Linked DNA regions of Styela clava. The protein of the gene in region 2 interacts with the protein of the main gene of each other region in a biochemical or structural test. Links are inferred from orthologs where the notes say so. Each region holds a gene or a part of one and is shown on either strand. Other genes may lie near its edges. The genes, in order: uncharacterized protein LOC120327575 and mothers against decapentaplegic homolog 4-like.

Region 1 (17,680 bases), on a different chromosome or scaffold from region 2:
GTTTATCGTTCAAACCTTTCAGCTATCTGACGTGACTTGTAAGAAAATGCGAGTCAGATAAGAAGTACATTTACCGCTCATGATTGGTCGGGTGTCACATGAGATGACTAAAAATTTTGACGATTTTTATGACGTCAATATTTCACTGGTCACGCATGACTGACAAAACGGAAAATTTTCTGATGCATTTAGATGACCGGAAAAGAAAGTTTTATTTCTGTAACGAATGTAGTCGATCCACCCACCATACATCTTTGCTTGAATTTCATTTCAATGATAAGTCTTGAATGCATACATTTAAATTACCTGAGATTTTTATCAGACTTCAATTTACCAACAACGGGCTGCGATTGCTAATTTCAATATACCAAATATTTTAAAGAACAAGATGAACAATTGTATTTCAAACTTGGCTAACAAAACAAAAAGATACGTCAAAATTTGTTCGTATGTAATTGTGACTAGTCCACAATCGCTATTTCAGACTTAAAATATTAGTTTAAGACGTTGTGAGGATATTAATGTAATATTGTTTAAGCCAAAGATGTGAGTAATTCATGTTGTCAATTTCAAAGACTGTGTGTCGTAAATATGTCCATAAGACGTCTAAATGCCATCGATATGTACAGTGAAATGACGCAAATATTTGCCGTTGTACGTTAATGACGAAATAACTGCGTCGCATTTTCTTGAAAGTGGTTTGAAAGCACGTCCAGTCATCTTGTAAATGATCACTTATTCAAATTTCGGAAAAGAAAAACTGTAGACTAACTGCGATAACGTGAACGCCAATTTAAAAACGATTTGACTGATGGGAAAATAGTCGAGGGTCACGCCTCGTTAAGACAGCCAATTAACCTTTTGAGGTAAGATGCTTGTTGGATTGAGTTCACGCGGCTCTGTGTTTCGAGCTGAGGTTGGAGATTGCTCTAAAACACATCATCAGTTCAAAAACTACCATCAACTATAATTTCGAAAGATGGCCTTCCTGTGAATAGTAACTTTTACGGTGATAGTTTGGAGAAATATGGGTCTCACAATCTACATCGCTTATGCTCATCTCAGCTTGGCCGGGCAGGACTGGAAATACGGTCAATTCATACACGTCATTTCCGGTACCACGCACGCACCGAGAGTGCATATTTGTGCAAACGAAACAAGTTACATCGAAGCAGACTATGCATCACATATACATAATATGCTCTCAGTGAATTTGAAATTACATATCAAAGCAGTCATTTTCATTTCAAATTTCGTAGGTGAATCGGGGAATACCAATGTCATATACTTTACGTAGGGTATCTGTGAGTATGTCTATTGTATAGTCACCAACGATCAGACATCCTTTGATATTGGCAACACCCTTGAAATAATACCCATCAAACGGCAACGACCCAGCAATAGAAAAAGAAAAAAGCACGTTTTATTGGCGTCATTGCCTACAGCACGAGATAAGATTTTTTCAAGATGTATGGACCGAGCGTAGAAACGACCTCGGTTAACAGAGGCTTTCGAGAGTAAAAATACTTGCGTGTCACGTCGATATAGATGGATTACGAAGGTCATTATGGAAGCTTTTCAGTGGATCAGGTATCGGTGTTCCCTCTTCCGACGGATAGGATTCCGGGTTTTTAATCTTGTATAATACGATGGCTTACTAGCAGATACGCCTTCAGATGTTTATGTTGATGCATTGATTGTTTGCAATCGCTACACCTTCCACAAAATCCTGATGGGAACACTGTTAGGTAAATTTTAATTCAATCGGCTTACTTCCGAACTTTGACACGGAGTTTGCTAAACAAAACACTGAGTGTAACTTTCATGAAAAATTAAACATGGCAGAGTAGGATAACGACTAGTCTTTCAAGTTTCGTCTCTTGAATGCAATTGAGTTCAATTGTACACAAATTATTTTGTGACTGAATTTTTTGATAGAAGAATTATCTCACTTCATGTACGCATGGGTAATCGCGATGAAATGTAGCCAAGCCAACTCACAGTACGTGCATGACTGAATTGGCATATTCTCAAAGAAGGTCGCGGCGAGACGAACACGGGTTGTTTGTATGAATGCATTATTTATTGCCTACAGACTCGGTCTTAACAAGATAGTTTTGCGACAATAGCACATAGCACTAGAAAAAAGTGAGACGTAATGTGATTTGTACTGTGATTAAGATTACATTCATACGCTTTTCAGCGAACCTAAAAAATCTGACAAGGTCTGGAAAAATGGGGATCCGCATTAATGACATAGTATCAATATTTTTTGGCTGGCGCTCAAATTACAATTGAATGTTGCAGAAGATGGTTTTCGTTTGCAAACTGTAATCAACATAGATTTTTTCTCACTCATGCCTCCATGATAAAACCAGGCAAACAAAACAACCTGAAAAGGATTGACGAATACCTCAATAGCCTATTTATAAGAATGCTTCTTCCCATTTCACGATATAACTCATTTCAATCGGGGATAGTGAAAAGATCCATTTTCTTGAAAATTTAAGCAAAATTCCATTTAAAAGCATATAGATACGACGGGTTTTCATTCAAACGGAAATTTCGTCGTCCGCTGGCTAATGTTGTTATCTTAACGATTGTACGGACAAAATCGATATCGTCCAGTCAATTAAGTGACCAGAGGCCTTGTCGCGGTCCCAAGTGGCCATGGTTTATTTTTTTTATATATTAACTTGGTTTATCATACACGATAATGCATGGGCGTGAATAAAATGCACCGTCTTGGAGCGACAATTCAGGATTATACCTGGTAGTCAGGACAACATCGCACAATTTAGGTATATTTTATTTTGTAAGGCTTCCCTGGGCAATTACGGTCTAGACAGTTATGGAGGGAATTTAGCCGGAACCGGCACACTCGCAGGGTGTGTTTTACTTAAGCTGATTGGCGGTGTTTTAAAATTTAAAATTCGGTACAGCTGTCAACAACCAAATTTCACGTTACGACACGAAATATTTGGACAGCACACTCAAATTTTAGGCCACAAGTCCCATAATTACTGCCACAAAATCTATATTTAGAGAGGGAGAACTAATATCCCAACATCATATTTAGTAAAACCAACATCAACTTGGAAAACCTATATCCAGATCTTTGGATATCCCAGGTGGGATAAAGTCATACCAATATGTTGTATAAGTTTGTTTCAATATTTTGTACGCAATAAGGTATGCTGAAAGATTTTCCTATGCTATAAGTTTTGGTACTGATACTGATATTGACAAAACAAAATCGATATAAAATAGAAATTGTAATTCATGTATTCTGTATTTTTCTACTATTATGTCTAACTCCAATGGGAATATAAATAAAACATGGAACAGAGTATAGACTTCTGAAAAACTTTATTATGCGGCAGTATAAAACAATACCGTATCGCCGAAATTGTAACCATGCTTAGTATAATAATATCCCATCGGGTATCGAGCGGGAATTCGAAACTTATCTTTGCGGGGAAATAACTTTGTCGCTAAATCAATAGGTAACAGCGCAGACTAAATTTTCGACGACGACAAATTCACTAATCGATAGTGTATATACATATCAAAGTACTGGAGACGTAGAGGGAGAGGCAACAGTTACTGTAATAATAATTAGTGTAACGTTTTGCGCTCGATATTAAGTCTCGACATCATCCGCTTTCACTGTTATTATTTAGGCTAAGTTGGGTTTGCGAGGGGGAATAGTCGAACTAAACTGACCCAAATGCGTATGCATAATTATGCAACGTCAAGTCTAATGGTTGTTTCCCAAGTTCCCCAAAGACGTTAAGCGGATTTATTCTATCGATCGGAAAGATTTACTACGATTGACGCATAGGAAAAGGGATGATTGGTTATAAGTAGTAAAAAGCAGAAAACTACATTTATGACTGATACGTTAATTCAGGTCAAGAGCGAATTGCTAATCCTATAGAGATGCATTTCCAATGAGTCAATACTCGAGAGAGAAAAATCACTAAGTTTCACTAGGATCCAAACATTTTATTCATGACAATTTGTTTTTGCAATATCAAATAGTTTTGAAATCTCATTAATTCTTGCAGGCATATGTGACAGTTAAATCGTACCATTGGTTTGATTTATGTGTGTTTCCTAGATTAAATTTACAAACTGCCACACAAGAGAACGTGTATAAAATGTTCACAGAAATTTTGCAAACGAATTATGTGCAAACTATTTCTCAAAAATCGCGCTTATTAATGGTGGTTATCATTCCAACGAAAATCTAAATTTCGATTTCAATTTAGCATGTTCAGTATCCATAACAAACAGGCCGAATAGATTTGCACGCGATGAAATAGCAATATCATTCATCAATGCATGATGCGAGTGTAGTCCGCACGCACTGGCCATCTATCTATACGTGACAAATACCATATAATAAATTCACATTTCATAATTCATAATTAATAGCCTGTCCAAGAAAAATATACCGTTTTTGACACGCATGGCAAAAGTCGTGACGGCAACATAAATTATAAAAATGGAATAGCGTAGATTTAGAATTCACAGTAAAATGCGCAATTGGTAGTGCAATGGTAAATACAAGCGAGCAGGAATCACTAAAATCAATAAGTTACTGATAATCGAGATCCTATTGGCTTTGTCTGGAAATTGAGACAATTATTGCCGTAGCGAGATAACTGATGGGAATGAACATAAAAATTCATTCAGATTACTTTTCCGATAAATTTATAATAATATTTTTGAAATCCTAAAAACATCGTTCAAATTAGTGACGGTCATTCGAGTACACCATGTCATTATACCACGAAACACATTTCTCCTTGGCCTACCAATTTAATATTATTAATACACGGCAAATCGTATCTATATATGAGTTAGATATACATCATCAATTTGATGAGAGACTGTATCTAGGGACTGTGCTGCACGTAATAACACGTTGGATCGCGTCACAAAGGCGCGTCGTGAATAGTACAAAAACATACAAGCAGCGACAGCGCAAGCAATACTCGTATTAGGATTTGTAAATGAGAGCAAGCACACGAGACCAACTAGAAGACAAAATTAAAAACGTGTGATATTAACGATATCGTCCGCTTTGGCTAGGCCAAAGTCTCTAAAGTATAAATGTCAATACCAAATAGTTACTGTAAGTACGGTATTCTAGAAATTTTGCATTGTGATAAAATGAATATAATTACCCTAAATAATTTATAAAGGTTTTGCAAGAAAGCATACAGTAATTTTGTAACAGATATTATACCAAAGCCCTATTCATAATATTTTCTAACAACAACACTGTAGAGTGTTTACAATACTAACAATCAATCAGACCAACTGTCTGTTATGCTCATAAGCACGCTTGCAAGGGACCGCAATATGACAGGCGATAATGAAAAGTAAATTTCAACATTCTTTCGTATCATGTTAAGTCAGATTCAAGTTAACGACCTCATCATTTACTTAAGATTATTAACCCTGCACGAGTTCATTTAGTTCATTAGAATGAATATATGTAGATTTGAATATGAACGAAGATTGAACTGCATTAGCTAGTTTAGTCTTAGGCATTGATCCAACAATCTTGAAAACCCTCGGGAGTTATTCATATAAGTTTTATTGAATTTACTGTTATTACAGCAAAATTGAATGGAAAAAAGACTTAGTCAAGTATATTTGAACTTCTCTTCGGTACAAAATACAAGTATTATAAGTGCCTACAAAACTTGAAGACATTGGTGTTAAAAGAATTAAACCAGACAACATAATGAATAAAGTAAATGAAATTAACGTACATATCTTCTCTTGCTTGGTGTTGGAGAACCCCCAGAATATCTTACAGGTGGGTGAGAAGGTACATCATACCGTTGCTCAAATCTTGATTTGACCTGATCAAGAATTTTTTGATATTCTTCACGTTTCGCTCCTTCAAGATCTTTAGGTAGCAGAAGATAATTCCTCCAGCTATCAGGGTCAAAGCCCCAATGGCATGTTCGCTTCTCAAAAGACCTGAGTGTTGATAAAAAATTTTCTTTTTATTATCACCACATAATAGTTTGGACCGTATAAGTAATTCTTACCTAAATTGAGCACCGAGGGTCAAACCATACCAATCCCAATTTGAAATAAAAAATTGATGATGGTATATTAAATTTTCACTGTATTATGAAAACTGAAATTCTATAATTCAGGTCCCATAATATTCTAATTCCCAGAAGGATTGGGATGTTTTTACACTGACCATAACAAATTAAAAGCGGACAGCTTCCAGGAAAGAAATATTTCATTCAACTTAAAAATAGAACTATGATAATGTCAATAACATGATGCGAATGTCACTGACTCAGAATTTGCAATCAGTATGTAAAATCCACATGTTTTATACCTAATGCCCATAACTAATTTGAAAATTTTCATTTACCATACATGCAAGAATGTATAGTTAAATCATAGATGTCATTTGGTACCTGTGAGAATGTGTGATGAAACGTTGAGGGCTATACATACATCCACAACCTTCACATACAATGCAGGGTGCAATAGGTGAATTGTAAAGTTCTGGGTAAATTTTTCCATAACCTCGTCCAAAGCATTCATGATAAACTTCAATACCACTGTCTGGATCAATATGCTGTAAAATAGAAATCAAATAAATGACGATAATATTGATGAACCGAACCAACAAACAGGGACGATGATAATTATTAACAGAAACTTTGAATCCCACATGTGTAATCTTTGGTCAATACTTGGTTGCAAGGGTTTTTACTTGAAATACAAGAATGAAAATTGCTATTACAGTATGTGTATATTTATTAGCTTATTTAGTAAAGATTGATTCGAGACATTCCAGTAGGTATATTTATTAAGACGTAATTTTGTTCAATCAATTACAATGAAGTGTATTACGGAATTGCTGAGAAGGTGCTAAGGTATGTCTATAGCACTGACCTTTGGAAGTCGATCTCTGTGTGATTTCACAGGCTCATGTTGATCTGTTAAAAGTGCCACTAATCTTTCAGCATCTGTCTTTGTTATCAGACCACACTGTGCAGTGTTTATCGGTAATATTCCTAGTACTTTGAGAGTTTCTAACTGTTTAGGCAGGCACCGACTGCAGTAAATGTGAAGATCGGCACATGCTTGGTTTATTTCAGCTATACTGTATTCTCTCAATACTGAAGTCAGTATCTGAAATACAAAATTTAACAGGAGTTCAAAATGATGTGAAATAGGTACAAACTACCAATAAAGACCAACAAATGGATAGGATATATATATGCAAATTTGAGAACTGTCTTCTTATTGTAATTTTTGAAGATACAGTTGAAACATATTAATCAGTGTTCTGTTTTTGGATACGAAACAATTTTCATTCTTTGAATGTTGTTGTGCTACTACAGATCCAAATCATAAAGTTTTTACCTGTGGAAGACAGAGTCTTTTCTCACCGCCCACAATGAAACAGGCAATCTTCTCCCCGGCTAAACACGTTTCCGAACGCTTCGCCGACTTGTCGTTAGGAATGAAATATGGAATTTGTACCATTGGTTGAGGTGGTATTGGTGGCAATTGCTTGTTTTCCTAAAGTTAAGGAACAAAATTATAGGATATCTTGAGGCCATTTCCTGTGTAGGTATAATTATAGGTGCAGACATTAATCTGTCTGGCATATAGGGTAATACAACTAATAAAATAATACAAATGATTTAGGAGTTCCGTTGCACATCAATACAGAACTAGATTAGGTATGTTCAACTCAAGTTTAACTTTAATCATACAGAAGTATATTTGTGAAAGTGTTTAAAAAAAATTGCAATTGTTATCTTCACGCATATAAAAAAATACAACACATGGATAAGTGTCTTTACTGTTTGACAATAAATCATGGCATACTATAATTATTTCAACTTGAATAAGGCGACTACATAGGACACAGTGAATTAAAATTTACTTGATATAAAAATCTCGAAAATTCTTGGTGGCAAGTCAGGCATAATAACAAGCGCGGCTAAATTGCACAAATAGAGATTGTATACAGTCATGCATTGAAAAAACAATGCCTGTAATTTGAATATTTTAAAAAGAGAGTTGAATAAGTCACATGAACTCAACCTCGTGTCAAAAATATTAACACAGAATAGTCAGGAAATTGAAAAACACATTCTACAGATTTTCATTAAAAGCAAGAACCAGATCGCTAGTAATATCATAATAACATTATGTGAAATGGATACACAGCCACAAACATAACTTGATTTGTAGAAAGTTTATGTAATTGCTTTCACTTTTAACAATCAATTAACTTAAATCAGGAATGAATTTCGATTTTATTACATAGAGTACTGAACTATATATTGTTATATTGTATAATTCTCAATTTCAATCAAGTATTCCAAGTCTTGAAAAATGAAGATAAAAATTCAGAACGCTGCAGAAAATACTATCATCCAATAAAGATTCCTCTGTCCAATAAGAATCTTTTGTTTCTGAATCTTCTGTTTTTATGTCAATTCTGGCTATTGTAGATGTATAATCAGTATAGTATAATAATACCATCTGTAAATGATTATGCTGCAAAGATACGCTTGACGCTTCGTTTTTTTTTAGTAGAGTTAGGATTGAAGTAGGCTATATGAACATGAAAATTTCATTTATTCAAAACAGAATATCCAAAATAAAGACACCAACCTTAAACCACATTTGAGCAGCCAATGCTGGAAATCCACTCGGGCCACTAAGGCTATCTATGCTAGATAACTGATAACAGTTCAAGGTAGCTTTCAAGCTTTCTGGAAATGTTGTCGGGTGGAAATGTTCCATGATGGCGCGAGCAAGGGTATGCTCTGATCCGCCAGATATCATAAATAATCCCGGTTTGTAGTTCCAGACAGAAAAGCGTCAGATTTTGTCGAATTGTATCCGCAGAGTTGTTGACATTCCAGTAAACAAATGAGATGTATTAATCGTTCAACTTTTCAAGAAATTAAATAACCCATGTTGATATTATTTTGAATACAGTCTATGTATATTTAACCTGGTACATAAACAACATTTCAGATTACTCTATACGTAAGTTCAAGTGTAACTCGAACCATTTGCCTTTACTATTTTTCCAATTAAATTATTATTGGAATATTTCTAAACTTTATGAATTTGTCTGAATCTAGTTATCAGTTTTGTTGTTAATATACATTAGTTATTACAATGCTTAGCAGCTTTATAAATAATGTATTGTGACTAACATTTTGTAATACCTGAAATATATAACTAGAGTAACAACACTTCAAAATAATGCTACATTACAGCCTTAGTCCAGTGTAGTAAACATGGGTATTTGGTCCAGTAAAAATCATCAAAAATATTAACACCTTTCATTTATTAACACATAGTTTTTGATAGGAAGCAGCGTAATTGGCCCAAAATTGAGAACTCTTTTCAGGAAATTTAAGTATCAGTCAGACAAATGTAATGTGAAATTCAGGATATTATCTTTAATACTCATAAACAGTATTCTTATTTAAATCTAACTATATCTAAGCTAACACAAATCGAGGTTCACGCTCAGATATTGCATAACAATTATAAAGCATGTGTATAATGAATACCCGGTCTGTCGGCCTAGCGATTTCTATCGGCGACATAGGCTGAACACTTTTTGCTGTAAATTTACCATAGAATTTGGTTGATATTAAAACTTAAAATCTAATAATAAACATATTTTAACTGTTTAATATCCGCACATACGAAACCGAACGTAAGCTAAACTTTACAACAAAGCACCGTTGCTAAAAACCTAAGGCCCGGTCGAATACTGAAATTTAGCCGAGCGATGCAGACAACTCAGAACTGAGCGACGACGATCGACCTTTCCCTCGCTCGAGTTTCTCACTTTGTTTCTCTATTATGTCGCGAGGAGAACGCGCGTGTATGTGTGAATACATACGCGCCGTCTAGACGTCTGCTCTTCTCTTTATGGTGCTTTACTCCTGTATTCCCCGACGTCCGTCGACGATGTCGGTAAATCGATTCCTCGATGGACACCGGAGGCGTCACTTAGCATTTCTTAAGAATATTAAAATATTGCGCAAAATAGCGGTTGAAAGTACACATCCGCCTGTTCTATACAGAAAGTCGCCTAATATTGTCCGATCTCGGCCTCTTGAATAATATTGACATAAAACACTGCCGCTCACGATGACCAATAAGAAAGGAATGCGTGAGCCCATCCGCACAGAGAAATCAGTATTCTTTTTATTAAAAACTTCCACTGTTGTAATGCCGACACATTGCGTTATTTGACTATTTCATAATTTAAAATTACGAACAGTTTAGAATACATTATATAATACAGAAGGTAAAGAATGAGGAATCTCAGCCCAACGTATCTCCAATTGGACCCAATTTATATCCACAACATCTTAATCCGTTAAAAGAGTGCACTTACGGTCTTTCGCAAGCAGCCGGAGGTTCGTGAAATTAATCAATAACAGGCGACGGTCAACGTTGCTTAACCTCAATGCCATTTGGCAAAATTAATTTTGTGACACGCTGGATTTGTCGCCGGAAAAATGGATTTAATTTAATCTGGATTAACCTCGGAATCACTGTATTGATATCAAGCTTGGCCAACAACACTACATCTGCTACTACGCCGAGAAACACGCAGCAACTCGTCGTGCTTATTAACTTGAATTATGGGCAATATAAACACATCTTGTACGTCAACATACAGCGTTTAGCGGATGTTATTCCGGACGGAAAACGTCTAGCTTGTCAGTGATCATGTCATGATGTACATGTCCAGTATCTGGAATAGTTTATTGATATATAAAGAAGTAATACAAGCATTCGACATGGTCCGTAATTCTGACTACTAGTGTCACGTAGCTATTTTTCATGCTTGTATAAGTCAAAGCAGATATTTTGGCAGAACTCACAATGGCGTGGGGCTGCGATGCACATGAATATACACAAGACCAAATAGTCAATAATTTTTATCGGGAAAGCGAAAAACGGTTTTTCGCAATAACCTATTCGAAATTGGACACTTAACACCCTCCAAATACACCCAACATTTCATATACCGGTAATTCAACTCGAACGCTTAACATTGTTATTTCCACTTGTAGTTCTTCTCATGGTTACCGTATATGCCGCAACGGTATGGTAAGAAAACTAAGAAAACGAAGCATTACCCCGATTAAAACCAACAAAACACCAAGCCTACACAGTCTCATATAGTCTGAACTATATTTTACTGAACGAAAATACAAAAATATATATATACTCTACTGAAAGCAATAAGTAATATACAACACCAAGCCATGTGGAGAAAAATATACAGAATATCCCAGACAGGTTATACAATTACGGGTAGCATTTTGAGACCAGTTGCACAAAAATTGAATTATAATTACTGAAGGCATATGATGAATGGTAAACATCTCTTTTATCTTTCATTAATTTAGGTTCAAATGTTCAAAAAACACAATATTCAAATACACAAAACATGAAATAAAGCCTTGAATGACAGCTTAACATACGATGATGTCAGGAAAGGTAACTGATTCAGAATATGAAGCCATTTACGCCAGGTCAACTTACTTATATCAAATAATAGAAGCTTTAAAATGAAGTCTAAATGCTTACAGTGCCTATCTAGTGTTGGTATAAATTGACATATATCTTAACAACAAAAAGACAAAAATATTTGTATTGGAATGAAACATACTGAATAATAAATCACTGAAAAGTAACTTTGTTCACTGCCTCATCTGAATACTACTTTTTCCTCAGAATAGCAGCCTAAAAATTAATTTACAGAAAAATGATCATAAACAACTATAGCAATAGCATTGAGACTACCTCTATTCATATTCAGTTCTGATTGAAAATTAACTCGAGCTCCAGCTTACAGAATACAATTATTGGTAAAAAGGTTGTTTGCATGTCTTTTGCAGTGATTTACATTCTCAAAGCTGATCTGGCTTTATCAAGAATTTCTTTTCGGATTTTCGGATATTGTGGATTCTTATCAAGTACTTTGTGACAAATATTGATAGCGTCGATGAATCTTCGAGCTTTGAGATAGTTGAAAGACAGCTTGTATCCTGTAAATGATATAAAACAGACTTGGTAAGAGTCACGCTAAGAAGCTGTTACAAAAAAGATCTGAAATAGGGAAAAACAAGCCATTAGTCACTGATTTTCTTGGACAAACAAATTAAATATACTATAATCTTTGGTGGCGGCACAAACCATCAATTATTAATTTATTTGTTCTTAACACCTTACCCCCATTTGTTTTGCCTGGTGCCTTCCTTACTGTAAGCGAAAGCAATAGCCTTTTATTGTGAGGATTTTTCTAATTTTTGTGTACATGAAAAAACTAATTTCTTTGCATTGGCCAGCTATATGTTATGTTTAAAGTTGGTTATATAACCCGCCATATGACTGGCTATTTTTAAGTGTAAAAACAATATGGTTGCCTAAATCTGGAATCAGGATATCCAGAAACTTGAAAATATCGAATTAGTTTTGAGTAAAATGATGGGATTGATAAAATTCAAATAATTTTTTGACAATGAACATTAGCCGACTAGTTCGAACTGCTAACAAGCAATCATTCCAAACAAGAAATATGCAATAGGATTATTTCCCATTCAATTCCTATTTCAAACAGGATTCATCACACAAATCATCCTAAAATGTCTGCAAGAAATTACCATGCTCGATTGAAATCAACAAAGAACAAAGCATCGATGAAATGATATTAACCAGATTTTTAACCCAATTTCTGCTTTGTATTTGTAAACATCCTGAATTAAGACATCAGGATGTTGCAACAGAAATGTCAGATTAGTTTCTGCCTTGTGTCAAATTAGGATAATATAGTTATATTGTATTGCATAAATTAATAAGATAAGAATAATGACCTCTAAGCAGCCAGTGGTCAGAGCTAAAATAATCTTCGAAGGTGTAATGAGGTTACCGTGAGGTTACATAACTATGTTTTTTTACCAAGATCCCACTGGACAAATAAAAGTGTATATTCTTCCACGAGGTGACTCACAAAAAACAGAACCCTAAATTTATTGATTACTTTTGTGAAAATGAAGAAAAGGTACTCCTGAAGTATGCGCATCAAGATGTCGCACAATCTGAACCCTAGCCTGGTACACAACCTAAGTTCAGGTTGTGCGCCATTTTGGTGCGCATACTTCAGGAGGTCCGAAGAAAATTTGTTTAACACTTCAACTTCTATTTGTGTATGATTATATCCAAAAGTTTGAGTAATCTACAACATTTTACACAAAAGTTATGTTCTTTCAAAAACATGCGTCAAATGACATGAGTCTTGTTTTTTTGATCATCCTGTATTCTAATTAAACATTCTTAAGTAAAGAAAAATGTTGAAAATAGGGAAATCTTGAAGAAAGCTTGCTATGAGTTTTGGAAAATAATCCCCAAATACATTTTTATATACCATAAACATAATCAAACACTGTTTACATAGTCTGCCTACTCAGGTCATCCTTTTTAGTATTGTTTGCAGTTTTCTTCAATCAAGGAAAGATATTACCGATAAAGAAATAATTAGTTGATACTATCATCAATCAGCATTATAGCATATAGAGGTGATTACAATGTTGAAATAAACAGAACCCAGATTACTTGGAACATATTCTAAAAATAATATAACTTTTGTGCCAAGCGTCCTAGATCATTAAAACATTTGGGTACAATAATACACAAACAGAAATTCAAGTTTTGAATAAAGTTTCTTCATTTTCTTCAAAGTGATTAAGAAATTTATAGGTTCATTATTTTTGAGGTATCCTGTACTATATATTTTGTATAATTCAGTACTTCTTACCTATGCTTGGGTTAGCCTGATTGCCATAATCCCAGGCTTTTTCATAATGAGTTGAAGCATCTTGATAGGATTGTTCTTTCTCATAAATGTATCCAAGATACTCGAATGCCTTACAACAAGACTGGATTGAATAGAAAAATAGATGTTGATAGATTGAGCAATTATGAACATAGTTATCAAAGCACTTTGAAAGACAGAATTCATAATAGGTTTATATTTTGTTTTAACCATCTGATGTAAACTGCTTAAAATGACAAATTATAAAAAAAAAACTAAAACTTAAATTATTCTCAAATTAAAAATTAACAAAAACAAAAAACTAAATCCTAATGTTATTCAAATACTCAATTCAATTTGGAAATCCCTACTTGAAAACATCAAGTAATTTTAAATTTCATTTTGATACCTTATTATGTTCCACACATTTCTTCAACAGTTCAGTTGCCATATCAAATTTCCCTGCACTTATATAAACATCCGCAAGTAACAACCATGCCTGCTCAAAATTGTCTGCATCTTCCAGTGTCCATTGCATCTGTATTTCATGAAAACATAAAAATTTTACATAGAAATCGGTACTCCCACAGTGTGTGTACCAAGTTAGGGTTAGGCTATATTCTTATTCCGATTTTCCTTATTTTGGTTCTATTACAAATTCGGGGACTGTCTGTGTTAGCCAAGTAAACATACCCCTTGCCCATAGGATTCAGTCCCTTTACGCAACTTGATGTAAAGTAGGCGAACAAACTCAGTTACCTCCATATTGGTACACACAATTCTGGAGCACCTGTAAATCTTATATGAAGATTACTCACACCTTTGGCTCTGAGCAAGGCTCTGTACAAAAACCACTGATATTATATGATATGAAGGAGTCACTAATTCTTGAAAGGACGGGAATCCAATCATTATACCATGGGGTGTGGAGATGGGAATGGGGTTTGGATCTGCGATAGTGCTCAAACTTTAGGAGATGTATTTAATCATGATTCACATTTTCACAATAATGGCGGTATTTAAAAATATTGCAGTGCAAAATACTAGGCAATATGATTTTATTATAAAAAAAAATAGACAAAACAAAATTTTTTTCAAAAAAATCACTCCTAAACTTTTTTTCAAATATTCTAAAAAACGACTAACATCTACTTTGTCACCCCATTATTTATTAATATTTTTCTGCCGCAAAAATTAACGTCCAAAACATTCCAGTCCAAAGATGGACAATTGCTAATGCGTACATTATGCACAAATCATGCAATAAAAACCGCACAAGAGATAACATCATTGTAAGATGTGTTTATTTTAAAACAAGTTCATCATCAGCCGTAATCAATGTTATTTTAACCTTTTTACGATAAAATAAATATATACGAAATAATGATTTCCATTTGTGAAAATAAAATAAACAAAAAGAAATATTGAATGCTGATGTGCTTATTTGTATTAAAAAATGCCTCATTTAGGAATGATGTCATCAGTCACGTTTCAACTGGCCAAACTTGGAAGCAAAGCTTGTTTTTCCAGATCCAATCTTACATTATAAACACTGATCATAATTAGTGATTAAAATCCAGTGAGGCTGTTATCTTTACTCAAAGAAATCAATCCCAAACTGAAGTTAGATAACACACAAGAAATCTCCTAAATAAATTTAGGACTATGTAAGATAATTCGAATACTCTTGGTTTGTGAACTAAATTTCAGTGATAAGAACACAATTAACTTTGAGCATTTAAACGCCATGATGTTTACGACAGCTCAAGAAGGTGACACAAGAAATGAAACACAATTGGGTACTGTATGACATCTGAGATTTATTATTTCACATCAATGGCTTATAATTATTCAGAAGGACACACTTTGAAACTCTCATATTTACATTGCATAACACTTTCATAATCACTATGCAAATCAGTCATTAGTGTCACTGTTGTAAATCATGAAATTATTAAAGAGATAAGCGTAGTTGATTTCAAGTTTTTCTTGCATCGACTAATTTTTTTACCATCGTTTTTTTTCTATTCAAAGAAGAGGAAAGTCGACAAGACGGCTCAATCAAATGCCAAATCATAGCCTATTGCCTGGTTACTTTGTCTCTTATGAGAACAGTATTAGTTTCAGATGAATGAACTTGATGAAGTCATGTGCACAATCAAATAGAATTACGAAAATAGGTTGCAACATTTTAGTATCCGTTCAGGTACCTTTATTATTCCACACTATTATGGGAAGTTTACCCATCAATTCCGAGAAAACATTCGCATTTGTATGCATGTATGTAATAACTTGTTATTTCTGTATTAAATTATAGCAATGGTAAATTATTCTATACCTTTGAAATTCTTTTGAGTTGGTTCCTGGCTCTCGGCGTTTGCTTCATAATCTGATAAGCGATTGCCATTCCCAGCAAACATGATACATTGTCTTTCTGAAATTATAATAGTACCGTATTGTCGAAGTCAATCAAAACCTACTTGGATAATGTAAAAATATTTTTTCAAATATGGAATATCAAATATATTCTACTGGTAAATTCAGTCTTGTTTAATAGATAACGACAGATTAATATCATTGATAAAACCATAGATACCTTATAAAGATACAGATTCTTAGATCAATTCTCTATTTTCTTTATTAATACTATCAATGTTATATGATTAGGCTGTTCCAAGTTTGATCGTTGTATGTCAAAATGAATATTAAAATGAAAATATAATGAATTATGACTGAATTGCAAATAATACAAAAAGGGTCCAAAAAAATTATTTTTAATAGCTTCATAGCTTTTAAGTAATATTCAAGAAAAATCTTTTTTCTTAATAGATAACGACAGATTAATATCATTGATAAAACCATAGATACCTTATAAAGATACAGATTCTTAGATCAATTCTCTATTTTCTTTATTAATATTATCAATGTTATATGATTAGGCTGTTCCAAGTTTGATCGTTGTATGTCAAAATGAATATTAAAATGAAAATATAATGAATTATGACTGAATTGCAAATAATACAAAAAGGGTCCAAAAAAATTATTTTTAATAGCTTCATAGCTTTTAAGTAATATTCAAGAAAAATCTTTTTTCATAAAAATAAACATTATTGTTCTCTGACCCATACATGAGAAAATGATGATTTAAATCAAAATAAACCGATCCGACAAAAATACCTCATTTTGTAGAATTTCCATAAAAGCAGCGAGTGCTTTTTCCGCACTACTTTTCTGTCTGTGTCCGAGTAGAACATATTTTTCTAATATTTTACGCTTGGTTGCATCTGTTGGGGTTGCTGCAGGTGTTTTACAGAGTTCTTTGATCAATCTTTCTGCCGTTGAAATTCCTGCTTCTGCTGCCGTCAATTTGTCATGAGAGTTTCTGAAAGTAAGTCATTATTTAGATCAGGGTTTATTAAACTGGGTCCTGGGTCCACCAAGGGGGCTAAAGATGGGTTCTCTGGGGAACATCAGCAAAGACCTTTATTAGGTATCATTTGCGATGTCTACATAAATTCAAAGTAAATCGGCTGTAATCGGTTTATTACTCAAACTGTAACACATTTGTTTGCGTTCGTTCGTTAGCTTTTTATTCGGGCGCATCATATTCTCAAAGAAGAACGTCATAAGTCTGAAGAGTTTCAGAATATTGTCACAGATCCTGTAAGGTTGAAAACCGCTGATTTTGATTAAGTGAAACAAAGGTATGGTGAGATAATCGTGAATTTCAATAAATACATTTTTAATGCTATATATTCATAAGTTTTCCGAAGCATTTTCATATCCAAAATTTGTGGAAAAAAATTGGTT
Region 2 (17,252 bases):
GCACCAAATGTGACCCTGCTTTGTCGCATACTACTACAAACATGTCATACCTAGCACTCTATCACACATAATAAATACAATGAAGGGTGCTCCAGAAGTGTGTGTACCAATACGGAGGTAACTAATTTTGTTCGCCTACTTTACATCCAAGTTGTATGAAGGGACTGAAACCTATGGGCAGGGGTATATGAACTTGGCTGACACAGACAGTCCCCGAACTCGTAATAGAACTAAAAAAAATTCCGAGTTTGACCGGGAAGCTTAAGAAAAAACAGAATAAAATTATGGCCTAACTCTAACCTGGTACATATACTATGGGAGTACCCAATGAAGAGATATAGAAGTTAACTCAAACAAACTCAGTTTTATTCGAAATTGATTTCTTATTTAAATACACATTGATAAATGACGAAATCATGTTCTCTGCAACAACCCACATTATCTCAGTACTCCAGGGGCCACTTAACATCAACAATTTTCCCGCTTCAATATGAAAGCTTGTTTGAAAAATTGCATACCTATGAAGTTGAATTTCGATCCAACAAGGTGTCTGTTTGATATTTTGTCGTGGATAATCAGGCCCCCAACCTTTAACAAAACTCATTCTTAATATGCAAAGTCTTCTAAGATCATCTACTCCAATTCCTGCAGCTGCTGATAAACCAGGTGTACCTACATAAAAAAAAGTAATGTATCACACACAGAATCCTGAATGATTTTTTCATTTCAAGCATCTAAGTCAGATCCGAATGGTATGGAAGCATTTCTGCTTTTGCTGTCGAGAAACAAATTTTACCTAAAAATTTATGTTATGCCACGAGAATATTTTTCAGCGAATGAGATAGATTTAGATGTATAGAGTTATATATATATTCTGCATACCGACTGCTTGTGCAATACCACCAACTGAAGCAGAACCAGGTATATTCCCTGACACTGCTGCCGCCTGTACTTTTGCTGCTTCTTGTGCGGTACGTGCCTGTTGTTGCATCTGTCTATAACATTGTCGTAGATCAAACACCTAAATGAAATTAAACTAGATAACTCAAATATTCATCAATTTAAAATTGCTACATAAAGACAATTTGTGTGGAAATTCCATTTATGTAGACTTATATTTCAGATTCATCAGATTATATTTATCATTTGCATTCATTCAGGATCAGAATCTTTTGTAAATATGATGACATTTGAATGTCATCGTATTTAATTTGATTGTCATTTGTTGTTGTTGATTTCGATTATAGGGTTGAATTATTGAATGACAAATTAATTTCCTTCATGAATATTTCACACATACTTTAATATAGGCATTCGGATAAATCTTATGAACGGCATCTCCAGGTGCTCTCCCAGCTTCTCTGTCCAAATAATAACTTTGAACAAAAACAGCATGATCGCTCAGACATTTCACCCAGACATCTCCTTCACCATGACATACTAGCTGAACACCTTTTCCTATATGTAACCTGAGATATAAAAGGAAAAACATATTGCACAAGTGTTCACCAATAGTCAAAACACACCAAGCTAAAGCCAGCTGAACCAGGCTGCATATTACAGAGGAACATTTTGAAAAAAACAGTATGTGAAAAATTCTTCCTATGTAGTAAGATTAAATGAATGTTTCTCTAATACAGGGGTCAGGAACCTTTTTGGTCAAGAGAGCCATAAAATATAAATATTTTCAATTGCATTTCCGTGCGAGCCATACAACATTTCTTCACTTAATCAGGCCTGAAATGTTTACTCAAAAGTCAACACATACAATGTCAGTATACACTTAATGTGATTATCTGATGCTGCATGTAGTCGCTGCAGGCCTTGGTTACTCACATGCAGCCCAAGTTGAAATCTACAATACTCATCGCCCTTTTTCATTTAGGTATCTCCGTAGTGTTTTTAAAACTCTACCGCTTTGTGATGTCACAATATATGTTCCAGAATCCCCTTGTTTGTCACAATGCCTGTCTGGTAATTATCTTACATAACATAGACATGTGCTGGACGCGCCTTCTCAAACGTATTGGGAATTTCCTGCCAAATTTGGCTATAAAAGAGTTTGAAATCTCGTAACAATAGTAAGCTTAGTCTTGGGATATTAGATTTTTTTGGGAGCCATATGGCGTCACCAAAAGAGCCATATATGGCTCGCGAGCCATGGGTTCCCGACCCCTGCTCTAATAGAATGTTTCTCAGGCAATATCACTTCGACTAGCCCCAAAGTACCAATTTTATCAATCTCAATTACGAAACAAAAATAAAATTTCCAGTGACAAAAGTAATGTCTGAAAGATACTATGGTTTGAATAGATTTTAACCACGTTCAATTAGTTGTGATTTGTCGTCATTGATGGATGTTAAATTGAAAACTGACCTTGCTCTCTCTGACGCTTCCGTTCTGTGAACATTCGACAATTGCCCGAGACAAAATCTATCACCACCTAGAATGTTAAGACATCTTTTGGCATTTTATTAAAACTTATCAGCTGTCATAATAAGAACTATATTGATATAAGATCACTCGCAGTCTTCTGAATCCTGAAATTTTAGCTGTTGTATAGTAGGATTCAATTCCAAAAAATAAGTAATAAATATGAAACAAAAGAAATATAACGCACCAGAAGGATCCACATATCCATCTACGGTAACAGCTGGACATGATGCAGGAACTTTGAATGTTTCACCCACTTGTACATCCATCTCATATGAAGTTATTGAACACCAAAATTCTGGAGCTGGTTAATAAATAAAACAGGTTTTATTATCATAAATAAATAGAAGTTAAATATTATTAGACAAGTATCTTATTTAGGCTAACAAAAGTTTGATTGCTCACGTGGGTGATTTGAAATTGGCATATAATTCATGTCAGATCCGGGTGTGTAGTATGGTGTATTAACTGGTGAAGACATGTCAGGTGTGTATCGTGCTGTGCTGCTTGACCAGTTCATTTGGCCATCTGTTAACAATAACGAAATTCAATTTTATACGGAATGAAATATAATTGAAGCATAATATATTATAAATTGGATATTTTTATTTTGAGTTTTCAGCTCAATTAGAGCAAATATAACTTTCTAGTACTTGTATAACAAAGTCAACAACATGTGCGTTTTTTTTATTTCAATGTCTTGATTTGGAAATAAATCAAAAAATACCAACAAAGATACCTCGAGTGATATACGAAGTTCCATTCCTAAACTGCACTATATCTTTGAGAAATATAGTGAAGTAGAAAATTTTGACCATTGATTGGTTCAATAAGAATAATATTATGTCAATTAGATAAAATTGAAATTATGTCTGCTAGAGACTATAGTTATTTGATCAAGCCAATATAACAACAATTAATCATGAATAGATTATGAAATAATGATAAAACAAATTCGTTCAAAATTCTTTATTAGCATCCTGTAATATGATAATACGTTATGCAAACAAGACTGCTGACAGCTCTAGTGGTATAGTACTATTTCCGAAGTATCTTTCTTTAGACTTCAACATTGATATTTGCAAGACCAGGCTTACTCAGTGTAGGAACGTGTCTATTGAAAGTGTACATATCCATGGAAAACTAATATTCAGAAACAATAGATGGAAATTGTAAGGTTTGTAGTCAGCATTGTGGATCTGAATTTATACAATCAATCATTCAATTTATGACTATATGCTGTGAATGAAACTTACTTCTTTGACTATATTCCATCAATTGTTGTGATGCACTGGGGACACCCTGAGAAGGTGGTAGCATAGTATTGTTTGTTGATGCATAACCCAGTGTACTTGATGAAGTTCCACCCAGTCCACCTGCAAAATATTTGTTTATTTAATATTAATTAAGAAGTGAAAATCTACATAATTATTCCAGTAATAAATATTGAATATACAGTATGATTTGATTTTGAGTAAAAAAGCACAGTACGCCATGAATTATTTCACATAAATATAACAAATTAATAGTCATAATATTATATATGGTCAAAAATCAAGAAAAGTTTACGAACATTTCTGAAAATGAGTTTTTCAATAATTTTTTGTGTGTTACTTTTGTAAAAAATGATAAAATTAAATACCAGATAACATACACAATTTTTCAAGCATAACATTATACAATCAGGCATTTCCAATAGATGTAAAAATTTCGCATCATAATTTATAAGCAATACTCAGAATATGAACAGACATAATCAATCGACTCCTGCAGTATTACCATCAATTATTATTGATTGATTAGCGCTCGAAACGAGAAACTGGTAAACATAGTTCCAAACATACTTTTGCAGTGAGAAAGAAATCATGGTTTGTAAGAAAATACACATTTTTTTACATAAATTTAAATGTTTGTTATTTTAGAACTTCCAATGTATTTCATTAATTCCAGTCTGAGTGAATATTTCTCAAAGCAACCTGTACTGGAGCTTGTTCAGTGATATTAAACAAAAGATCACGATACTGTAATGTTACATATAGGCCCTCCTATGTAAGTTAAGAAGTTAAAAATTAGCTTCATTTGAAAGATAATTTTAAATAGGTTCAAAAATCATTGGCATTTCCACATTTACAATGAAAAATACCTGGAACATTTTTGTAATCATTGACAGAATGTTGTATTGTGTTTCCTGAACCATCTGATGTTCCCAGTATATGAGTTGCACTTGATTCAGCCTTCATGTCTCTGTAGTCTATAGACATCAACGGTGCTGGGGGAGCTAGAGTAAGAAAAGTAAGTAATGAAGATGAAAAAAACACAACATTCTGTTTCCATATGCAATGAATTTATATAACATTTAGACAAGGTTGCCGAGTAGTTGAACCTATATACATTGGCATTGCGCAAACACTAAAATGTTATAAACTGTCAAGGCCAATCCCACTCGAAATTGAACATTTGCTAATTCACACATTTACGATTTTGTTTTACTACCATAGTTGTATTACACCTTATTTTGATAGTTGTATTGATATTAGGTAATTAAAAAAAACTAATTTATGATTTTAATGGAAATGGTGGTCATAATATATCAAAGTTTTCAAAAACATATCACAGCTAGAATCTACATTGTTTGGATTAAAAATTTTGGTAAATACAATATTAGGTAAGAATAGTGTGCGATAGGCTACTAAATATACAAACACATCAAATTTTTTCCAAACTAGGTTTCTCTTAGACTAGTATTGGTATATACCGCCATTTGAAGTGAAATTTGTACATACAGGGTTGCGTCAAAATACAGATCCCATAACCTTCTTACTTTTAAGAAAATAAAAAATAAAATTATTCAAAACTTTATGATTGTTTGTGTACGATTGTACCCGAAAAGTTTCAGAAATCTAGAACACTTTGCACAAAAGTTATGTTCTCTCTAGAATATTATCAAATGATCTGGGATCTGTTTTTTTGTTACCCCTACATTATCCAATAGCTTTGAGTTGACATCTAGATCCTCTAAATGTCTAAAGTCTGTACATTTCTAGAAGTGAAAATATTTTTCAAACCTGTGTGTTGCAGTGTTAGTCCAGATAAATCAATCCCAGGTGATACGACTCGTTCATAGTGATATGGGTTGATGCATACAGAATCACACTTGAGATCAAATGCATATTTACAAGTCTTCAAATGCTTAAGTTCATTTTTATGAAGATCAGGCCATCTCCAAAGTCTTGCATAAATCACATGAGGAAATCCTTTCCTTCCTGCAACCTAAAATAAATCAGCACTGTCAGCACTATACCATTATAAACAAAAAATAAAATGATAAGTTGAAGTTGAAATAAGTCAGGTATACAATCAAAGTTACAATTGGATAAAAAAAAAGAATATTTGAATCAGTCAATATAATACCATTGCCCGCTTAAGTTACTCAGCGTGGGTTCAAAGGTTCGAATCCTGTAGGCTATAATTAAGTGCAAGATGATTGCTGGACTCCTCACAGTTGTATGAGTGGTTCATATAACCACTGGTCGGTTATGGCTTTCTCTATCCTCAAGTCCATGTATCTGAAGCAAATAAATGGCTAACTAATCCCATACCAAGAAAAGACTGGTAACCGGACGAGAGATCCAGGTATGTCACATGATTAGGTCATCTTATCGATTTTCCTCTCGCGGATCCTGGGATAAATATGGAAATCCTCTCCTATTCCACTCGATATTTAGCAAGCAATCAAAAGTGTTTTAGTGAAGCTTTACCTGAAGTCTCCCATCTAAAGTACGTTGAATAGTGACACAAGTAGTAGGATGCGCTCCATTAGTTGTAATGGCATTTATAAGTGCTTCTAGTTCATCCTTCTTCTCTTTTAACTTTTTAACTAAACTTTCAATTGCTCTTTTCGCAAAACTTTCACTTTCACCACCTTGTCTAAATGGATAATGTTGCATTTAACTCAAACAATCTTTTAATATAAACAAGATTCATTTCTTGACATTGTTATAAACTGCTTGTCCGACATGTATGACTTTGCTCAGACAAAATATTTCAGGAATACATTTGTGATAGTGCACAGCAGGGCTCTTGAATTACTTAGCATAACGGGGTGAAAACTCAAAAAAATCAGCCACGAACGCGAATATAGTTCTAAGTTTCCGAATTATTTTCAGAAATTGATGAAATAAAAAGATAAATAAGATTACATCTTGCCATTATACCACTTTACGACTCACCTGTGACACATTAAACTATGAACTATACTGAGGCAGGCATCATTGGATGTGGCAGGTGCATGCTGTTGCTGATGTATCGACATTGTATTCGGCTGAGGTGGAGGCAGGGGATCTTTATTATAAAGCGAAACAGACATTTTTGATAGTTCAATAATGCTAAATTATGGTTCTGCTGCACAATTATATTAATTGAGAAATAAAAATAAACATTGATGAACCAATAAAACGATTTATACAAATATACAGAATATATACCGGTAATAGGCCTATTTGGAAAAAATATTACAAAAAATAGACTTTGGCTAATAAAGTAAAAAAAGAAGAATCAAAAAAAAAAAAAATTAAATATATCTAACCTTATCTAATCATGGAAACCCTACATAATATATGGGGCAGTAATAGCCAAAATCGAGTTAATTTTGAAACATTATTTATTAATAAAAAAATTTCATTATATTTTGAATTCAATCAAGTTCGAAAAAAATATTTGAATTGTACTGTATGGCATCTTCATTATACATTGAAAGTCATTTTAGTAATGAAGAGAATCAGAAATATTTTGTAACTTGTTTTACACTACCACATTTCTACAGGTACCGGTATACTAACTACGCAATTCCAAAACTAAATTCAACTTGAAAACTTAGAGGAATGTGATATACATTAGTGTAAGAAACTATCGGAAAACATTAATCAATAGTCTGATAGTTATACCTTGCTGGCTAACACTTTTTAAAACATATCATTTTTTTTATTTTATTGATTCCATTTGGCAAGGTCTGTTATAACTTGATCACTGCTTGTTTGGATAAAACATAACAGTGCTCATTAAATTGTTTTTTTTTTCGCCCAACATAAGGTTAATATAGTGGCAATAATGATGGCTATAAGTAGGTTCCATTACATTTGAAACCACGTACATTTGAATCCACAACAATTGCACCTGCATACTATTGCACCTATCAAATTTTTTTGTTTTATGGATATTTGAACCTACACTAACCCTAACACATGGGTTTTAGCACCCGCATATAGATTGAACCCGCGGATATACACATGGGTTCAAATGTACGGTCAACCAATAAGTATAAGTTTATTTCGATTCCATAATCAGAATAATAGACGATAAAGTAATTGATAAAAACAAAACAATTAGAACTGATTATAGAATCGGTAAAGCAAACAATACCTCTAGTAAGGTTTGAAAAGTACAAATTTTAGATGAGAAAATATTACGCGTTCGCTCACCCAATCCTTCTGAACTACTCATTTAAGCGCTGCAATAATGTAATCAGACTAAAAACTATGAGCATGTAAGAAGATATAGAACAGGGGTTCCCAAACTTTATTGGCCACGGGCCAAAATTACAATTGAAAGGATGTTCGCGGGCCGGAAGAGTACAGTATAGCGCCTGGAGGTGTGCGGCGGTTTAGCTGGGATTTAGTGGATTCACAGTTGACATTTTATGAAACATGCTTGTTTGACTCGTAATGACGCATTATGTCGTAGGTATTGCATGTATTGCTTCAAAACTAGAATAGTTCGTTGGCAAAGGGGACAAATCGCTGAAGTCTGAGTCATACGGTAGTCTAGTTCAGGGCTACTCAACAATTTCACCAAAGGTCCGGTATGACAACGTTTCAGTTGTGTAAATTAGCGCCGACTTGCTGAAAAGATTACAGATACGGCATTCGACCCCATAGAACCTGTATACAATACAGATATATATATAAATATGTATACGGTAAGTCTTCCGGCGACTTGAATTCAAAATCCAGTTGTTTGAGTTTCATGATCTCCCGTATTCCCATATGCTTAAAATTGTTCATGTTTTGTAACTTATTGAGGAACCATCTTAATCCTGTAATCCAACTCTTATGTCCAGTAGACCTATGTCTGTACCGGTATGTGCGCTTAATTCAACCAAATACCGGTACCGGTACCGGTACTCCAAAGTCCGGATTCGCCAGTTGAGTTGCCCTGGTCTAGTTTATGTTTATTATTTGACATCTTTAACCTTATTTAAATGTCTGATTACTAAATTACTGCCCTATGCAATCTTAATACTGTGATACCGGTACCGGTACGTACCGGTACCGATTAATTGAGATACCGGTGGTACCGGTACGGTAGTACCGGTACGGAGATACCGGTGTTCGAATTGCTATGATAAACACAAGCTTAGACTGTGATGATGACATAACAATCTGACAATTGGCAGTATCTTGATTCAAACAGGTAGAAACAAAATCTGTTTCACTAATTCACTTAAGCTTGGCGGGCCATTTTTAATCGTTACGCGGGCCGGATTTGGCCCGCCCCCTGCCCGCGGTTTGGAAACCCCTGATACCGGTACAGAAGAATGAGAAAATCACAACTGTACACTTTATTTTTATTTGGTTCTTCTGTATGTCAGTAGCCTAAGTACGGTACCTCCAGACCTAGCGTACCGTACCGTACACAGTTACAATATAAATTCAGAGCCATGAAATATCCCAATTTCTGTTTTCTCTCCGTTTCTTGGCGCGGCGGTGTGACTCGCTCGCCACCGCACGCACCTCTGATTACCCTGCGTCTACGACCGGCAACTAATTTGCCTAATGTTAAACAAGTTCATGGACGCTATCTTGTGCCAATGACATTAAACAACATGATGCGCAACTCCGGCATTTTTGTCCGAAGATCGTATTCGATAGCACGCTCCAATGCACATACTTGACGAGACGAAAACGAGCGGATGTGTGCTGCTTTCAAGGCGTAACACGAATGGTGTTCGTGCCTGCTTTGACAGTTGTTGTCGATTTTAATGATATTTTTGAAAGTTGGGGTAAAAAGAAATCGTTAGAAGGTAAGGTGAATACTATTGTTGTATATCACACCCGGGCATCGCACTGTTAAGTACATGTGGGAAAGCCAGCCTTTGTCAAATACTACGAAGTTATTAATTCAGTACGGTACGTAGTTGCCCATTTGCCGAAATTACATATTTACTTACCCCTTATGGTTTCAAATAGTTCATGCACCTCCAGTTAGATTTTTTTAATCAGTGAGGATATATACTCATTGTTGATTGCTGCTCATTGTAACATACTATTACGCATTCACTTTTATTTGCGTATTGAATCAAAGTGTTAACAAGTTCACCTAACATTTCACTCATACCGGTCTATATTGTATAGTCTGATTTCTCAAGTATTTGGAGTCACGAATGCTTGTAATTTTCTGACTAAACCCTCTTATTAGTTGGTTTATATACCAAATTCAGTAAAATATTTTTTAAATAAAACATGAGATATTGGATTTATTAGCTTTTCCATTCTGAATCATATAGACTGCTTTATTTATTCTCAACGAAAATTAATAAATCTCCTCTCTTTCTTCAGATGTGAAAGTTGTGGACCAACCTGTCTAAGCATTGTGAGACTCTTGCAGCACAAGAGGCAATAGCAGAAATAGTAAGTATATCAATCAAGAAATTAAGCCGACATAAAGCAAAACTTTCAACTATTCGTCTAATCTCAATTTCCTATTATTTATTCACAGGACAACTATAGCAGACGGGGAGATATCAGAAGTCTGGCGACATATCAGTGACAGTGTGATTCCAAGAAATATAATGCAATTGAAAATAGAAAATTGCAATAGAAAAACAACCTATGGAGGCATGCAAAGACATTTGACCCTCCGGTAGAGTTGTGTATGGCCCCCACATCCTGCAAGGCTTGAGGAAAATAACTAAAAATTCCAAAGCGTAAGATTGCATAAGCGGTCTTATTTGTAAAAAGGCACAACACACGCCAGACATACTTAAAACAGCTTTGGAAATGAGGATTACGGGTACCTCACTGCACCTGTGTTATATTTGGTTCATCAACTTTTGGTAGTACTATAGAAGAAATTCCGGAAGGGGTATAATTATCATTCATGCTAAAATACTATCATATATTTTTTGAACAACTTCAATCTAGACCAGGGATCTCAAACTCGCGCCCCCAGAGAACTTCCAGTGCGGCCCTCGAACGCTGAACAATAATTGTAATAGTATTTTGGAAGTTTTTTTTTTTATCTAAATGTAATAGATTTTTCAAACCTTCTAAAGTGAAATTGATTATTCACACAGAAAACAATTTACTGAAAGTAGTTTTGGAATATTAATTTTTTTTGTCCACATTTTGACCCAATTAAGAATACACATCAAGCTAGCAAAAGAATACTTGAATAAAACACTTGAGTAATTAAATTAAACGCAAAGTACATGAAGAAGGTGGCATTTTCGAAGAAAATGGGAGTTGTAACATTTCTGCTCTTCACAAAATTCTGAAGCACATTGTTTAATTTGTCATATTTCCATCAATACAATCAAAAAACACAATAAGCTCAGCAGTCAATATGACAAATTCGAAGACCAACTTCGAACAGAAAATTTCCATGTGTTTGTATATTAATATAATTATACGACTTAGTTACTAAAAATCAATATCAATAATAATTCAAGCAATCCTATGCCACGCAATGTAGTGCGAAATGTCTTGTCGAAAAAATCTGTCATTTGTTTTTTTACTGATCTATACATGAAATGATAAAAGTAACTTTTTTGCATTACTGGAATTAATTAAACATTCGTAAAGATCCAGATAAACCCATGATCATGTGGCCTCGTTAGTTAGAGTTGGTACTATAAAATCATTTCAGACTGGCCTTAGTATGCTGGTGACACAAAAAAGATGCCAAACGCCAGGACAAATGTAATTATTAAAAAAAAGAGTTTATACTGTAGTATTTTTGTTAATTTTAGGTTCATATATTTAGATTAAGTTATTTTTAGTGTATGTATTATTCTTTCCTTATTCAAAGCTTGTTCAAAAATGATTTTGATGGTTGTACATAGAATTTTACGATTTTTTATAATAAATACTGTAACTTGCAAATGTTGCAATAATAGTGGAATGCAAATATTAATATGTAATTGCATTTGAAATTGAAGAAAATAATAAAACTTAATCCAACTGTTTAGTTGCATCACAATATATGTCACAAACTAAAACTATCTTAAAAATATCTTTTAAGTATACATTATCAAAAACTGTTTGCGGCTCTTTTTACAATTTTCAAAATGCAATGCGGCTGTCGAAAACCCATGAGTTTGACACCACTGATCTATTCTAGACGATTCAAGCATTGCTTTGGGAAATTATATCACTTCAATTAAATTGAAATAATCTCGCTATATTAAATACAAAATCGTTGCTATCATAAAGGTAAACCAATTCAGCCACTGGAAATATATTGGCCTTCACAAAGCAATGGAGGCAAAATTGAGAGTTCATGAGCTATGAACATTTGTTCTTTTCTTTGTCTTGAACTTTCCATACTCCACAGCCCCTATTAATTTTTTTTAATTTTAATTACCATGTGATGGTCATACATATCTTTAACTTGTATTTTCTGTCATGATGTATTATCTCAATGTGCCAAACTATTAATTAGTGTGCATATTTTGCTTCCAGATGACATAAATGTATTGTCATGTTTATTACCTCAGCTTGGAGTATTGACAAGAAAAAGGTGCCAGTAAATTAGGTAAAAAAATTTTCAACTCATTGTAATAATCAGAATTCACAATCAATAGGAATTATAAACAGCCAACAATCAGTGAGAATTATATGCGAAATCCCTCAGAATAAATTTGTCTAAAATCGGAGGAAGGCAAAAAATATAGGTAGTTTCCATCCACACAAGCATTTCAAGAAGACTTGCTCGAGCCAAACTAAATGAGCATCGTCAGGTGATCGGTAAGGCTGCAAGTTGAATTCAGCCCTGCAACCTCCTGCATAGAAGACAATATTAATTAGTGGGCTATGAGCTAAATTCCTAAATTTAAACAAACCTATCTACGATGCATTATGTACCAGCAATGTTACCTACGATTAACTGAATATGTAATATGTCTAATAAATTCACCTACAAAAGCAAGTTCGATAGGTGCAAACTTTGTGTTATGGAATTGTATCGCAGCACAGTTTTGTATGACACCCTCTTTAAATGAAATTTCAATGATTAAGCGCAAACATTAAAATTACTAACTTTGAACTTTGTCATTATCTGCAAAATGTTCCACACAAATCTTTCCGCTATCGCGTTTGTAATCTTCTCTGATAAAAAAAAAACGTCTATGATGTCCAGAATTGCTCTTTACAGCTTGCCTGTTATTCCAGCTTTCCAAGTAAGCAAAACTTCTTAGATATAGAGATTATTTTGTTTCGTTACAGGCGCAAAAAGGCAGGTACTACACGTAAAAAAGACGCCGAGTAGCAAAAGCGAGCGGAAAACGGACGGGAAAGGCGACGAGAAATATGTGCATTGGAGCGTATCATGAAATACAATGTTTTGCCTGTAGTCTTATGGAGTGACGTCAGAGTTGCCTATCATGTTGTTTAATGTCATTGCTTGTGCCATATTTGGGAAACGCGAAACAATGGAGTCCTATGGGAAATTTTCGTCGTGTTGTTGTACCAAATAGAATAAGTCAGCTGTTATAAGGACTAGAATGAAGCCGAAGGTTAAGCTTCATGCTACCTAAATATATAATGCAATTAAGAATAAAAAAACTATCTAATGCGTCAAATTTGACCTCAAACACAACGTATAACCATTTTTGGTCATTTTTACGAAGATTTTATAGTGATACACCAATTTAACTCTGTAAAATGTCTCCACAACAATTCTACAATGTCATTTGTTCATCTAGCACGGCTCGGAGCTAAGCAGTAGGGCATTATGGAGCTTGCCAGACGAAAAATGTTAACGAGAAAATAGAAACGGCCATTGAAGCGAAGTTGAGTCAGCCGGCAATTTCATCGAATAAATACAACTTTTCCTCCAACGATTTCAGTTATAAAATTTACGATTGTAATATCTTTCTAGGTCTATCCTTCCTAGAAGTTACCGCACCATACCTATTTAACAAAGTTATATGAGCTAGTGCTCAACTTAAATTGCTATCCATGGTGAGAATCTACAAGTGTTTAATTGCTTACTCATAATTTTTAACATCGTCTTAGCATAACTTAACTTATGATAACTCAAAAAGACAATGGAAAGGCTACCCAATTCAACGCAAGAGCGAGCAGTACAAACTGAGATTCATCCAACCGTCTACAACTGATAACATTTTAATTGTTACGTCACGCAGAATTCTGCGTTCATTGGCCAATGTTGCCGGAAAAGCAGAGAATATAAGACAGATGATAGCATATATTTCTTGTGGTAAAAGCGTTTTTTCGTAAAACGTGCAACTTTTGGAAATGGGAACAAAGTATTATTTATTACTATATTACTAAGGAACATTTTAAAATTGTTTCCAAGTAGTTCCCTTATGTGCGCTACAAAACTGAAAGATAAACGGCCTCGTCTCGCGGCCTATATTAGGAAGCATATAGAATAGAACGTTTACTGAGCTCAATGAGCATATATATATACAATGAGTGGACACTTCCAAATATTTGCTCATCCCTTGCTTCGGCCGCGCCGGTTGCGAAATTGGCCGTATTGAGGCTTTTAATTTTTAGATTCTTGTTCGGTTTTGGGTTTCGAAGTATGGTAAGTTGAAAGCATACTAACTATAAGCATATGCTTATTGGAAATGCATATCTATTAGCTATAGCACAGAATATGAAGTCAAATGCGGTTATTTCTGATTATAGCATGGGGTTTAGGCACATATTTATCCATGGGAAAGGAAAGGGATAAGAAGTCCTAAATATATGGCGAACCACAGCTTCTCGCAATCATAGATTATAAGGTGCTCCATACGAAGCCCCAGGGCTGTCCAATTTCAAATCATTCTGGCAGTCTGGGATATCTTGACAATAAAAACGAAGACAAAAATTAGAAGAATAGCAGGGAATCGGCTTATCGGCTTTCCTCTCCACATGAGTGAATATGTTAACCCCATCCTATATCAATGAATACAAAGCCCCACGTCCCCCTTTACATGGGTCGTAACGAGTGGTGGGATTCAAATTTTTGTCAGCTGGTTCCATCACAAAAGTCATAGTTTTCGGCCGGTTCTGTTACATGTTTTTTTAGTAATGTTGACCGATTCGCTGATCACATCAGCTTCACAAATATCGCATCCCGGGGTCAGTAATGATAATATTGTTTGCTCAAAATTGGGACCGTAACTGTGATACAAATCCAACACAGAAGATAAAAATCAGAATATAATTAATTTTTGTTGTGAATACATTCCTTAATAGTTGTCTTTAACATCTTCGCCGATGTTCGTTAAAATATTCGAATAATTTTATATAAAAAAAATACGGTTTGCCCACCACTAATCACGGCGCATGTAAATAATCAATAAATGACAATAAAAAATCAACTTTGTTAGCATTAAATTCCAAGTAAAATTTCCACATTTCATGATTCGATCGGCGCTACACGCGAGCGTGTTTTTGTATATATTCACCAAACACCGCCAAGAAAACAGAGGCGAGCTACACGTGACTGTGGAATTTCGCTGTGAACGACGCATTGTTTTTAATTTATTACACGCCTCACGCAGTCGTGAATTGAACTTTTGGCGCACTGTTTTAATTTCACCGTATGCCCTCCACCCCGTTGGAAAAATCCTGGCTGCGACCCTTGTTCGAATTCTATATCTCACTATTGATTACAAAAATATAATTGCATCCAAACCAACAGTATCTATATATATGACTATATGAAGGATCGTTAAAATTAAATAATATACATGCAAAAATCATGATTGATAACAAAATGTACTCTAAATAATGAAATAAAAAACAAACTTTTTTGTATAAATTCACAAGACACGAAAATGGCAAATTTTAAATTTTAATGGCAAGATATCCTAGAGTAATTTATAGTTAAAATCAGTATTTTTAATAAGTATACGACTAGCTCACAAAGTCCAGGCAGCCTGGGGGTTCATAAGGAGCACAGAGCTATTTGGAGAGGCCGTGGTTTGCCATTTTATAGGCTTTCGGCTTTCCTTTCCCCCTGGATAAATATGTAAGTCCCATGTTATATCAATGAATAAATACAGCAATAACCGCACCCCACGTGGCGACTGATTCATATTCTGTTCTGTAGCTACGTTTTCTACCTAATAGATATGTATTCTAAATATGCATATGCATGTTAGTATGCTTTAAACGTACCATACTTCAAAACCCAAAATCGAACACGAATTGAAAAATTAAAAGCCCCAATACGGCCAATTTCGCACTCAACCCAGCTGAAACAAGGGATTTTTGCAGCGAATGATGTGCTTTCTTCATATGCAACGAACCATTTAGCTGGACGACGTAAAAATGCAGGGTACAATGGATTAATGAGCAAATATTTGGAAGTTTCCACTCATTGTATATATGCTCATTGCTGAGCTTGAGTCACGCCACATTAATTGTTTGTTCATTAAGTTTGTTGCATCGTTAACTTCAAAACGGAAATAGGATTTCTGATTAAGAAGCTATGGAAAACTATAATAGTGCATACGTGGTACATCATAAAATTTGGGTTTTTGGGAATAATTGGCAAGATATGATGTTGGAGTTTGATTGTTGTGAAATATCATGTTTTTAGGACATTTTCAGTAACGGATTACACATAAATACAATTTTGTTCTTAACACCTAAAATTGCATGATATACAATGTATTATACTGCAGTAATTTCTGCAGTAATAATAAAAGCTCGCCCTTCGTAATCAGGGGGACATGATGCCGGGCTTTGAAAATTGTAAATTTTTTTGGTATATATATGTTTATAGCGAGGTTTATGATGAAATAATATTTGACAGTGACGTACACATAAATACAAGATTTGTTCCCAACAACAAATTCTGTTATGTAGATTTTATGTATACCGTATTTGCTCTTTTAATAGCCCAGGCGCCTATTTTTTTAAACATACTCACTAACCGGGCCCTTATTCAAACCGGCCCTTATTCAAGCAGGGGCGCTTGTTATTTTCAAAGTAAAATTGCACACAAAAATACCAGTAGATGATTTGATCGATCGTTACTGAATAATTAATACCGTATATTGTCATTTTCAGTTCTCAAGTATGATTTAAACAAGAATAATGAAAATTTTGACGCAAATCCGCAAAAAAAAAGTTTACACCGGGCGGATATTCAAGCACCGGCCCTTATTTATTTTCATGTCCTGTTCACACGGGCGGCTATTCAAACGGGCCCTTAATCAAGACCGGGCGTTGAAACGAGCATTTACGGTATATCTGATATTTTTCCACTAATAAAATATTTTCTTGTTTGTACGACAGTGTTGGCATTATTTGAATTTTGACATTTTAGGTTTTATAGTAAGGAAAATCCCGTGTTTCCCTGAAAATAACACAGTGTCCTATTTTTTTTTAAACGGGGTTATTTTGGGGGATTTCTTTGATTTTTATTTATCAAAAAACAAAATTACAAAGTCGAGAATTTCAAAAATACCAAAATCGATATCCATTTACTTATAAATAACACGTTTTTATTTGAAATAATAGATAAGACATAGATTATTAAAGAGAGTAGAAAACATTTCATGCTATCGACTAGG

Evidence for each region.
Region 1: the proteins of mothers against decapentaplegic homolog 4-like (region 2) and uncharacterized protein LOC120327575 form a complex in vitro, tested with the Homo sapiens proteins (3 studies listed by BioGRID and IntAct, with this or other methods). The link is inferred for Styela clava from reciprocal best matches to the Homo sapiens genes SMAD4 and SKI.

Annotation. Positions count from the first base shown.
Region 1 is NC_135256.1:13,035,787-13,053,466, reverse strand, and holds the start of uncharacterized protein LOC120327575, read right to left. Parts: upstream 9,051-17,680; 5' UTR 8,860-9,050; coding exon 8,686-8,859; intron 7,579-8,685; coding exon 7,420-7,578; intron 7,186-7,419; coding exon 6,946-7,185; intron 6,626-6,945; coding exon 6,462-6,625; intron 6,004-6,461; coding exon 5,790-6,003; intron 1-5,789. Other genes in the region: tetratricopeptide repeat protein 21B-like, read right to left, coding at 11,962-12,107, 13,874-13,994, 14,280-14,408, 16,209-16,304, 17,048-17,252. UniProt on the Homo sapiens protein: May play a role in terminal differentiation of skeletal muscle cells but not in the determination of cells to the myogenic lineage. Functions as a repressor of TGF-beta signaling.
Region 2 is NC_135260.1:17,840,298-17,857,549, reverse strand, and holds the start of mothers against decapentaplegic homolog 4-like, read right to left. Parts: upstream 6,855-17,252; 5' UTR 6,801-6,854; coding exon 6,664-6,800; intron 6,362-6,663; coding exon 6,193-6,361; intron 5,705-6,192; coding exon 5,500-5,704; intron 4,713-5,499; coding exon 4,578-4,712; intron 3,811-4,577; coding exon 3,691-3,810; intron 2,963-3,690; coding exon 2,840-2,962; intron 2,739-2,839; coding exon 2,622-2,738; intron 2,445-2,621; coding exon 2,378-2,444; intron 1,470-2,377; coding exon 1,301-1,469; intron 1,022-1,300; coding exon 883-1,021; intron 673-882; coding exon 519-672; intron 1-518. UniProt on the Homo sapiens protein: In muscle physiology, plays a central role in the balance between atrophy and hypertrophy. When recruited by MSTN, promotes atrophy response via phosphorylated SMAD2/4.